3 linked regions of the Sus scrofa genome follow. The protein of the gene in region 3 purifies or fractionates together with the protein of the main gene of each other region. This does not show direct contact. Links are inferred from orthologs where the notes say so. Each region holds a gene or a part of one and is shown on either strand. Other genes may lie near its edges. The genes, in order: POP5, RPP40 and RPP14.

Region 1 (4,433 bases), on a different chromosome or scaffold from region 3:
GACAATGACACAAATAGCCAGGGATGTGTATAAAGAGCTAGTTACAAGGCTGGACAACTAAGTACTGGCTATAACAAGAAAATCTGGAATTAATTTAAATATCCATCATGGAAATATTGACTAGATCAGCAGTGGTACATCCAAACAATGCAGTCTGGGGCAACTGAAAAATAACTTTGTAGAACAGCTGGCATGAAAATATAGTCAAATGACAAGAATGAATCTTACAGACATTATGTTGAAAGAAAGGAGCCAGACATGCACGCACACACACACAAATATGCTGCTGGAGATTTACATTTATATAAAGTTCCAGAAGAGAAAAAGCTAATCTGTCATGACAGAAGTCAGAATATAGGCTACTTCTGGGAAGGTTTTTGGCTCGGAAGAGAGCACAGGAACCTTCCTGAGTGTTGGAAATGTTCTATCTCTTAATCTGGGCAGTGGTTGCAAAAGTTTATACATATATAAAAATTCATTGAGTTATGCACTTAATATGCATTTTATGTATGTTATGCCTCAGTTTTTAAAAAGATATTCAATGTGAGGGGAAAGAAGAGTAGTAAACAGTATGATCCTATTCTTAAAAAGAAAATGGAAAATATAAATTATCATACAGTGGAAGGTACATCTCGTACCTTTTTTGTCTCAGGGCCCCTTTCCATTCTTACTAAATTATTGAGGATCCCAAAGAGCTTTTGTTATGTGAAATATATTGATACTCACTATGTTTATTAAAACAGAAATGTTTAAAACACCATGCACAATTCTCTTAGCCATCAGAGCAATGTCAGCACATGTCACTGGCCTCTGGAAAACTTTACTGTCCACTCAGAAAGTGAAAACAGCAAGTAACACCTTAGTGTTACTACAAAAGTAATTTGACCTCGGGGGACTCCCTAAAAGAATCTGGGAAAATCCAGTGGTTCCTGGACTTCACCTGGAAAACCACTGGAACAGGGGTAAAATGTTGGAAGAAAATCCACTACATGATAAATTATTCTCTCTAGGTGCTGGGATTATAACTTATTTTTATTTGCTTCTTTGTGCTTTTCTGTTTAAAAACAAAAACAAAAAACAAACCAAAATAACCAGAAAATATAACGACCACGGATTGTTTTTGCAAAAAAACAAAAAAACAAACAAAAAAAAACAAGCCAATACACCCAACTCCATAAGGTTATTGAAAGGCCTAAACAGTAATAACATATTTGGCTGTATGGAGAAATTAAACCGAGCTCCAAACTGAGAATAAGAGTCCGATTTCCCCTATCAATCCCTGGCCTGGGGGGTGCAAGGTCTTGTGCTCAAATGTTCCACCGTCCAGCTTGGGTACTATGTTGCAAGGTAATGGAACGTCCTGGAGGTTCCAAATGCCTCAGCTGCATCCTAAACAGCAAACTCTGGCGTGGAGCACAACCACTCATCACAACGGGTTCAGTTGAAAGTCTAAGCGAAGAAATGAGCAGGACGCCTGCGCTCGGCAGAGGGAGGCGGAGCTCAAAGGAGACTGACACGGGGCTCCGCCTACATTCTAGTTCCGCCTCCCTCTCTGAGTGGCTGCCAGGCCAACTTCCCATTGGCCGCCGACGAGAAGGCAGACATCCGGTTTGAGTGTCTGGACGCCCGAGGCGGATACGAACATGGTGCGCTTCAAGCACAGGTAAGCAACCCTTATTCCTGTCCCTGCGGTCCTGGCCCCGGCCCAGCACTCACCGCCCTCTCGCCTGCCCCAGGTACCTGCTTTGCGAAGTGGTGTCTGAGGACCCCCGCTGCCGTCTGAATCTGGAGGACCGAGTGCTGGGCGGCCTAGTACGGGACACGATCGCGCGCGTGCACGGAACTTTCGGCGCGGCCGCCTCCTCCATCGGCTTCGCGGGTGCGAGGGTGTTGGGGAACCAGGAGGATGGCGGGATCTGGAGGGAGCAGTGGCCATTGGAGGGAGAAAGAAGGGGCACGGGCGACCTTGGAAGCTGCCAAGCCCTGTGCACCATTTTATGTAGGGTGTCGTCCTTTTTAGGAGTTTCAGAACCCGAGCCTGAGGTCTGCTTGAGTCCAAACTTAAGCGGAGAGCTAATACCAGTAGGCAGTGGGCAGAAAATACCAGTCGGCAGAAACCCCTATACTATTTGACGTGTGGTTTTTGATTGAGTTTAATAGGATGATGAAAACTAAATGAGGAAAGACTTGTATAGTTCCGAGTAAGTTATTTGACGGGTTACTTTGACATCATATGAAAAAAGCATTGTCAGAATTACCCCTGAAAAGCCCTGCATAGGGGCCTGTGAAGTACAGAATACACAGTTGTGTGTATGTGTAAATGCAAGAGAGGACCCTCCTCCACAACCACACTATGTAAATTCATTCCGTTTTTTACCATATGCTTGAAATTGAAATCTGGAGAAGGTAATGTACCTAGAGGCAACCCTTCTACCAAGGTGAGACTCGGTTGCTGGAAGAACCTACATAGCCCAGTTGCAGAACTTGTTTTTCAGCTAAGGGAAAACATCCTTCTGAAGAGTATGGATTTCTGCCACCCCCCTCCTTGGGTTAACTAGTTTGTGAATTAAAAGTGCATTTTAGGAGTTCCCTTTGTGGCTCAGCAGTTAAGGAACCTGACTAGGATACAGGAGGATGCATATTAGACCTCTGGCCTCTCTCAGTGGGTTAAGGACTCAAGGTTGCCCTGAGCTGTGTAGGTGGCAGAGGCAGCTTCGATCCCGAGTTGCTGTAGCTGTGACATAGGCCTGCAGCTTTAGCTGATTCAACCTCTAGCCTTGGAACTTCCATATGCCATGGGTGTGGCCCTAAAAAGCAAAAAATTAAATTCTAAATTCATTCACCAATTCTGAGTGGTATGTAAAGGCCCTAGATGTTATTTATCTCCCATTATTTTCCTTCAGAAATCAGTTTTTACTCATTGATGGCATCCCAAGTGCCACCGCCTTGAATGTTTTCTGGTACATAGGCTCTCAGTTACCTGAAGATTTTTTTTTTTTTTTGCTTTTTTTAGGGCTGCACCCACAGCATGTGGAGGTTCCCAGGCTAGGGGTCGAATCGAAGCTACAGCTGCCAGCTTACACCACAGCCACAGTCTACACCATAGCTCATGGCAACGCCAGTTCCTTAACCCACTGAGCAAGGCCAGGGATCGAACCAGCAACCTCATGGTTCCTAGTCAGATTTGTTTCCGCTACGCCATGACAGGAACTTCTACCCTAAGATTTTAAACGTGCTCCTGAGAATCCATTTTCCCAAAATGATTTTTTTCCTGCTGCAGTGCGATACCTCAATGCCTATACCGGAATAGTGCTACTTCGATGCCGGAAGGAATTCTATCGGCTCGTGTGGTCAGCTCTTCCCTTCATCACATACTTGGAGAACAAAGGACACCGTTATCCGTGTTTTTTTAACACCTTACACGTGGGAGGTAGGGGTGCATGTGTTATGGCTGCTGATTTTCAATAGGAAACAGGTTCAGAGTTCAGTCTTCAATAGTGGGTGGGTCCTCCTGCTACCTTGCCAAGAGCAAGATAATTTTTCCTAGCTCTGCAAGACTCTGAGGCAAACACCTTTTGCGAGCTGTTGACTGCAAAGCTCTTTCTTGTGTCAGGTACAATTAGAACATGTCAGAAGTTCCTCATTCAGTACAATAGGAGACAGCTGTTGATTTTGTTGCAGAACTGCACTGATGAAGGTAAGCCCTGCTAGCCCCGTGCCCACTGAGCAGTGACTGACCTCCTCCAGCTGAATGAGAGGTCACTTCCAGAGACTTTAATAATCCATGCTCTTTCTCCAGGAGAGCGGGAAGCTATCCAGAAGTCTGTTACAAGAAGCTGTTTACTAGAAGAGGAGTCCACTGGGGAGGAGCTTTCAGATAGTGGCGGTGAGGAGGCTGCTGAGACAATGGAGTGAACTTTTGCAGGCTGCGTTGCGCCTAAGCTTCAGGGCCTACTTGTTGGACAGGGAATTCTGGGAGGCACTAGCACCTTCTACAGTTCTCAAACTGGATGACTGCTGATCAGTGGCCAGTTACCAGCTCAAAATGAATTGACTTATTGTTTAAAACTTGCCGGAGTTCCCGTCGTGGCGCAGTGGTTAACGAATCCGACTAGGAACCATGAGGTTGCGGGTTCGGTCCCTGCCCTTGCTCAGTGGGTTAACGATCCGGCGTTGCCGTGAGCTGTGGTGTAGGTCGCAGACTCGGCTCGGATCCCTTGTTGCTGTGGCTCTGGCGTAGGCCGGTGGCTACAGCTCCGATTCGACCCCTAGCCTGGGAACCTCCATATGCCGCGGGAGCGGCCCAAGAAATAGCAACAACAACAAGACAAAAAAATAAATAAATAAATAAATAAAATAAAACTTGCCAAAGTCACCTTTACCCAGCATTACCTGGTTAAGTAGTTCTGCAGGTGGTGAAGTTCCTGTAGATA
Region 2 (2,844 bases), on a different chromosome or scaffold from region 3:
GGCTGGGACTAAGAGAAACACGCTACCATATGTAAAATAGAGAGACAGGAGTTCCCTGGCAGCTCAGTGGGTTAAGGATGTGGTGTCGCTGCTGTGGCTCGAGTTTGATCCCTGGCCCCTGGAACTTCTGTATGCCGTGCATGTGGCCCAGTAAACAAATAGAGAAACAACAAGGACCTACCTTATAGCATAGGAACTGTATGCAATAACCTGTAATAAGCTAGACTGCAGAGGAATCTGAATAAGGATACGTATATATTAAAGAATCCTGGAGTTCCTGTCATGGCTCAGTGGTTAACGAATCCAACTAGGAACCATGAGGTTGCGGGTTCGATCCTTGGCCTTGCTCAGTGGGTTAAGGATTTGGCGTTGCCGTGAGCTGTGGTGTAGGTCGCAGGTGCGGCTCAGATCCTGTGTTGCTGTGGCTCTGGCAGAGGCCGGTGGCTGCAGCTCCATTAGACCCCTAGGCTGGGAACCTCCATGTGCCGTGGGAGCAGCTCAAGAAATGGCAAAAAGCCAAAAAATAACAACCTTTGTTGTAAACCTGACAATAACCCATTATAAATCAGCTATACTTAGAAAAGAGCAGAACTTCCCTGTGCTGGTTGAGCACAAAGTGCTCATTTTTCCTGCTCTGCACGCCCACCCCCCACCCCCCGTGTGAGTGTAGTTGACTTATAACATCATGGAAGAAGACAGCGGTGGGGATTCTGGTTGTGGTGCCGCGGAAATGCATCCACCTAGTAGCCTTGAGGACACAGGTTCGATCCTGGCCTCGCTCAGTCAGATGGGGATCCAGCATTGCTGTGAGCTGCGTTGTAGGCCGGCAGCTACAGCTTTGATTCAACCCCTGGGAACGTCCATATGCTGCAGGTGTGGCCCCAAAAAGAAAAAAAAAAAATAGTGGCTCCAAAAAGAAAAAAAAGTCCCTTCTCTACAGAACACACTGTGGTCTCTTTAAGTCCTGGAGAGCCGCGAAATGTTGCATTTGGCAACAGGGGCGCGAAGGGAGCTGCCCCCCGTGTCCCCATCACACCCAAGGTCCGCTCCAGCTCTAACACCGTGAATCGCAGGGCGTCAGGGACACACCAAGGTTTTTATAGTGTTGGGTTGTCCGTTCTGGGCGGCGCTACACAAAGGAAACGTCCGCAAACTCGAGTCCCGAGTCGAAGACTCTCAGGCAAGCTTGGCGCCCCTCGGTCTTCACGCGAAAAATGCCTGAGACTTAAGGGTTGGGGGTTTTCCTTCGCAAACGCAGCCTCCTTTTTCACAATCATTGGCTTCATAATTTGATTTTCCTCAATGAGAAGGTTGAAGTTTTTAAAATGTGATGTGTTTTCAGTAAGAAATTCAGTAATTATTCTGCAGTGTCTTGGTTTATGGGGACTCCGAAAGCAGCGCTGCTGAAGGGAGGGAGGCGATTCTTACCCCATCTGCGGGATTTTTTATTCTTCGAATCTCGTGCGATCGTCCACAGGGAGGGTGGGACAGCTGACCTCTGTTCGGTGTGCTGCGTGTGGGGGATGAACCCTTGTTGAATTCATAGTGTAGCACCAGGAATCTAATTTGCATCGCCTCATTTTTATAAACAAAAGCTAAGGTCAGAGTTCCCACTGTGGAGCAGTGGGTTGAGGGCTTGGCACTGCTGTGGCTCGGATTCTGTCCCAGGCCCCCAAGTCACCTCTACATGCCCTGGGTGCAGCAAAAACAAACAAACAAAAAAACCCTGAAGTCTGAGCTTCCTGGGAACATCAAAAAATACCACTTGTACTGAATAAGTAAGAAATAAGGGGAGTTCCCATTGTGGCTCAGCGGAAATGAGCCCCGACTAGCATCCATGAGGACTCAGGCTCGATCCCTGGCCTTGCTCAGTGGGTTAAGGATCCACCGTTGCCCTGAGCTGTGGTGTAGGTCGAAGACGTGGCTCAGATCCCGCGTTGCTGTGGCTGTGATGCAGTTTAGCTCCGATTGGACCCCTAGCCCGGGAACTTCTATGTGCCAAGGGTGCAACCCTGGAAAGCAAAAAATAAATACGTAAATATATAAATTCTCCCTGTTTGTTAAGAATTATCTGTCTTTTTCAGTCGCTACTTTGATGAACCAAAGTTGGCTCCGTGGGTGACACTGGCGGTTCAAGGCTTTGCCGACAGCCCTGTTTCCTGGAGAGAAAACGAGCACGGGTTTCGCAGAGGAGGAGAGCACTTGTACAACTTCGTGATTTTTAACAATCGGGACTATTGGCTTCACATGGCTGTGGGAGCAGATGATGACTGTCCCCCGTAGAAAGCGCAGAATTTAAGGTCCTGTTTGTTCATGTGCGTTGTCATGCTGCTTGATGGTAAAAGGACCGTGTGTTCACTCAGACTTGATGGTGGTGACATTTCTCAGACGAGCCTCTCTTAGCACCTGCTCCAGACTCGGGCCCATCCTGCGGCTGCAGCCGGGCCTGCCGTCCAGTGGGAGTTCGTGGCTGATTTGTCCCTTTGGTAGGAGCCCACGTAGGGTTACTGCCTGGTGCCAGGATGACCAGGGGTCAGGTTTCACGGGACCATTGGGTAAGCGGGACTCGGGCTCCTGCTTGTAACCTCTTTGCATAATAATACAAAGAAATTCTTCCGTCCTGCTTGCCAGAGCCTGTTCCTGCTGTAAGTGCTGTTCCTCTTTGACCCTGTTTAATTCTCACATCAGAGGGAACAAGCGCAGAGGGTGTAAGCTTCCCGAGGCCACCCTTGCTCGTGGGTCTGAGATCAGTCCCAGGCCAGCTGGTTCCTGAGTGTGCGTTCTCGCTCTCCTTATTCTGGGTCAGGAGAGAGATTTGGAATCTGCGTATATTAAGGAACAAGT
Region 3 (4,291 bases):
GATGTATACAATGTGCATATCCACAGCAAATGGGACAGAAGCTACAAAATGTTTCACCTAGGTTCAGATTAAGCATTGCACCTAATGAAGAAAGATTTAGTCTTCAGATTTTTCTTCGATTTTAGAATTGCAGATAAGGGACAGTGAGTCTGCATTTTCTTTTTTTTTTTTTTTTTTTTGTCTTTTTGTCTTTTGTTGTTGTTGTTGTTGCTATTTCTTGGGCCGCTCCTGCGGCATATGGAGGTTCCCAGGCTAGGGGTTGAATCGGAGCTGTAGCCACCGGCCTACGCCAGAGCCACAGCAAGGCGGGATCCGAGCCGTGTCTGCAACCTACACCACAGCTCACGGCAACGCCGGATCCTTAACCCACTGAGCAAGGGCAGGGACCGAACCCGCAACCTCATCGTTCCTAGTAGGATTCGTTAACCACTGCGCCACGACGGGAACTCCTGAGTCTGCATTTTCTACCTCCTCTCTCCAACCTTGGCAGATGGGGGTGGGAGGTGACATCTTAAGGAAGTCTATTCTTCCATGTGAAAGGAGAGGCATGCAGAAGGGTATGGTCCAAGACTCCCTCTTGGGAGCCTAAATTTTACTTACTATCAGTATTATAAAAATGATGCCCTATCACTTTAAAAGAAATCAAACAAAAACGAATGCTGAAACAATGTGAGGATCTCTTACACCCTCCACACAGCCCAATCCTTCCTCCATCAGTCCCCTTGGGACCCATCTAGACATTATACTTATGTGTCTATGTATGTATGTGCATACCTAGACACAGACACATGTCTAACTGGAGGAGGCTGTTACCACCGAACCTAAGTTCGACTGCTTGCCGCTTGAAAGGCTAATAGTGCCTGGCATACGTAAGCATTTGATTAATATTAGCTATTAATACTACTATTATTATTAATCCACACTGTATGGGGTTTTGTTTATTTCATGAATACAAGTGCCCTATCTTTTGTTTCCAACATCTAGCACATAATACGGGCTCAGTAAGTACTTATTTAATAAACGAATAAATGAAACTATTGTCTTAGATTTGGAAATAGGGCTATCTGGGACTTTTCATGTCAATCCAGACAGAAAAACTATGTGCTATGAGCCAAAAGAGACACTGAGAACGGGTCTTGCCCTTGGGGAATACTTTACATAGGAGATGCTCAGCAGAAGAAATGCTAGATACAATTTTTCTGAACGAATGAATACCTGAGTAAATGAATGACTAAGAAAAAAGCTCTCAGTCTGAATACGCCCTCAGTCACACACGGCTTGCCGCACCAGAGGCTGAGTGGGCACGAGAGGGCGCTAAGCCTGGCGAGCTTCAGATCCCGAGTCACGCCCGGGTCCTTCGGGAAAACGCCGCGCTGTGACGTCATATCCGCCCGAGCCGTCACGCATCCGGGGTCGGGGCAGACAGAAGCCAAACGTAAAGACCCCGGAGTTTTCTAGTTCGTGCTTAGGCTCCAGCCTTTGCCGAGAGGTTCCAAGCCTTGAGGGATTCTTGCAGTGAATAGGAGTCAGGCTAATCTCTCGGAGAGCAGGTAGACGGAAGTACGTAGTAGCGTGGCTGTTTTCCGGCAGTGGACTTAGTTGGCCGCGCTAGTGACGCGTGGATGCGCGCGCCAGGAAGGCACGCGCAAGGCGGGAGCGACGGCAGGCAGCGCGGAGACGCCTGAGGTACCTATACAGCTCAGGTCGCTCAGCGCCCCAGGCCGAAGGCGAGGCGGTGCTGAGAATCTCCTTGGGCTTTTGTACAACGTGGTCTTTTTTGCAGAGGGCGGCGGGAGGACTGAACGGGACCACATGTGCAGGGGGCATGCACTCGGCCCCAGGTGGGCGCCCAGTCGACGCCGACGGTCATCGAAAAAAGTTAGCCTGCTTTACTTATTGTTTAAAACAGTTCAGGTGTCGAGTTCCACTGTTGTGGCAGCGTGGAAACGAATCCGACTAGTAACCATTATGTTGCTGGTTCGGTCCCTGGCCTCGCTCAGTGAGTGGGTTAAGGATACTGCGTTCCTGTGGCTGTGGTGTAAGGCTGGCAGCCCTAGCTTCCATTCGATCCCTAACCTGGAACCTCCATATGCTTTAGGTGCAACTCTAAAAAGCAAAATAAAACAAAACACCAGCCTAAGTGGCTGATAGCTTAACAATTTAATCTCCAAACAGTAGAGGACCGAGCTTTTTAAAATTTTTATATCGTTTATGTCCTGTAATTACATACTGAGTGCCTACTGTATGTGATGCACTGTTTTAGCCTCCTGGGAAACAGCAGAAAACAAGGGAAAGATGCCTGTTTCTCTTTGGATTGTACATTCTGGTAAGGCCGGGGTGGGAGGGGGGAGGAGCAGGGCGGAGTGCAGACGAGAATTAAAGAATTTCAGAGTTTCCTGGTGGCTCAGCGGGTTAAGGATCTGGTGTTGTCACTGCTATGGGGTGGTTCGACCCCAGAACTAACCCCTCGCCGCCAACGCACCCCACCCCTCCAAAAAATAAGTGGATTTCATAGTTATGTTCTGTATACCTACAGAGTGGTGTATGCTCTGAGGAAAAAATAGAGCAGTGGCGTGGGGGGGTGACATTAGATAGAAATGCCACTGGAACACATTGAGGGGTGAAATTGAGTAAAGCTATGGAGGAGGCAAGGGAATGAACCATGTGGCTGTCTGGAGGAAGAGTATTTTCAGCGAATGGAAAAGCTGGGAGGGAAAGAGCTAGGAGGCCTGTGTGGTAGAAGAGACTGAGCAGAGGAGAGTGGTAGGACAGGAGGTCAGAGGGATGGGAGGAAGCAATGGTACAGATCAGGTTGGACCTTAGATGTAAAGACTTTGGCTTTACTCAAGGCTTCAAGCCTTGAGGAAAGGGGCTTATTAAGGTTTTAATAGGGTCACCCGGTTAGATTAGGGAGGGAAGCAGGGACATCTACTGCTAATAGATAAGGTAATGAGCATCCTTGCAGCCATCAAAAAGGCCGGCTTCAGAGATGATGATAATGACAGCCACTTAGAAGTGTTCACATTTTCCCAGTGAGCCTGGTGAATGAATATACTGGGCTGTAGGGAGGGCTTCCCAGGCATCATCTCCTTTAGTTTCAGGACAACCTGCAGAGGGCGGTGCTGTCACTCTGAGACCCAGGCCTGTCAGAGGTGACTGCTCAATAAACACTTGCTCCTACAGTTTTTTTTTTAATATAAAATAAACATAATGAAAAATTTACTATTTCTAAATATACACTTCATTGGCAAGAAGTATAGTCACATAGTTGTACAACTATAACCACTATCCATTTCCAGAATACTCCTTAAGTCTTCTTTGTTATTGGCATCCTAAGCCCCAGGCCCAATCTCACTCTACCTCAGGCAGCCACCTCCACTAAGGCAATCAGTAATGTTTAATAAACACCTATTGTGTGCCAGGCAATGAATGAAATGATTGAGGATACTGTCCTCCCTGCCCTTCCAGTCAGGGGAGATTGTAGTGATTGAGAAGGGAGCACCGTGAACTACTGCAGTCCTGAAACAAGAGTTCCCACTGTGGCAAAGTAGGTCAAGGATCCAGCATTGCTGTAGCTGCATCTCAGATTTGATCCCTGGCCCAGGAACTACATGTGCTGTGGGCGCGATGGAAAAAGAAAAGAGAAATGAGACACCCTTGAATGCTACCACCATTTAATCAGTCATGTATTCAATAAGTGTTTGTTGAATACTCTGTGCCAGACTCAGGAAATACTCATATTTGTTGAATAGGTGGTTGGATGTAGTGGCTTTGACCTTGACTTCTCATTTTCTCTTGAGGTTGTCTTCTGGGAGTGGTTGGAACTGGGACCGGAGAGGTTTTTGTGAATGCTGGTCTACAGCTATGTGACCTTGGAAAAGTTCCTTTCCTTGGATAGGCTTCAATTTCCTGTCCCTTTAGTTGGGGGAACCACATATTAAACAAAGACAATGTTAAGAGATGACATACCAAGGGAGCCTAACTTACAGCAAGGTGTCAGAGAAGGGCTCTCCGAAGAAGTGATGTTCCTAGAAGAGGTGAACTTTAAGCTGGAATTTGAAGGATGAGTAGGAGCTATCCAGAGTGGAGTGAGGTGGGTGAGGAACCCAGGATAGGGGTTCTCTTCAGGGGGAACAGCATGTACTGAGCTCTTCCAAGTTCCAGATCTATTGGGAATGGCTTGAGTGCCCATTCCAGGAATTCCTTTAAGACCTTTGCTGTTTAATCTGTCTTCACAAGGCTGACAGATAGCCCTATGCAGGCCTGGCCTCTGGACTGAGAGAATAGGCAG

The links.
Region 1: the proteins of RPP14 (region 3) and POP5 purify together in Homo sapiens (co-immunoprecipitation; 3 studies listed by BioGRID and IntAct, with this or other methods). This does not show direct contact. The link is inferred for Sus scrofa from reciprocal best matches to the Homo sapiens genes RPP14 and POP5.
Region 2: the proteins of RPP14 (region 3) and RPP40 purify together in Homo sapiens (co-immunoprecipitation; 3 studies listed by BioGRID and IntAct, with this or other methods). This does not show direct contact. The link is inferred for Sus scrofa from reciprocal best matches to the Homo sapiens genes RPP14 and RPP40.

Annotation. Positions count from the first base shown.
Region 1 is NC_010456.5:40,523,033-40,527,465, reverse strand, and holds the start of POP5 (ribonuclease P/MRP protein subunit POP5), read left to right. Parts: upstream 1-1,531; 5' UTR 1,532-1,643; coding exon 1,644-1,663; intron 1,664-1,736; coding exon 1,737-1,879; intron 1,880-3,280; coding exon 3,281-3,430; intron 3,431-3,613; coding exon 3,614-3,697; intron 3,698-3,799; coding exon 3,800-3,915; 3' UTR 3,916-4,433. UniProt on the Homo sapiens protein: Component of ribonuclease P, a protein complex that generates mature tRNA molecules by cleaving their 5'-ends. Also a component of the MRP ribonuclease complex, which cleaves pre-rRNA sequences.
Region 2 is NC_010449.5:2,992,559-2,995,402, reverse strand, and holds part of RPP40 (ribonuclease P protein subunit p40), read left to right. Parts: intron 1-2,084; coding exon 2,085-2,283; 3' UTR 2,284-2,844. UniProt on the Homo sapiens protein: Component of ribonuclease P, a ribonucleoprotein complex that generates mature tRNA molecules by cleaving their 5'-ends. Also a component of the MRP ribonuclease complex, which cleaves pre-rRNA sequences.
Region 3 is NC_010455.5:40,060,761-40,065,051, forward strand, and holds the start of RPP14 (ribonuclease P protein subunit p14), read left to right. Parts: upstream 1-1,417; 5' UTR 1,418-1,686; intron 1,687-1,697; exon of another isoform or gene 1,698-1,878; intron 1,879-4,291. UniProt on the Homo sapiens protein: Component of ribonuclease P, a ribonucleoprotein complex that generates mature tRNA molecules by cleaving their 5'-ends.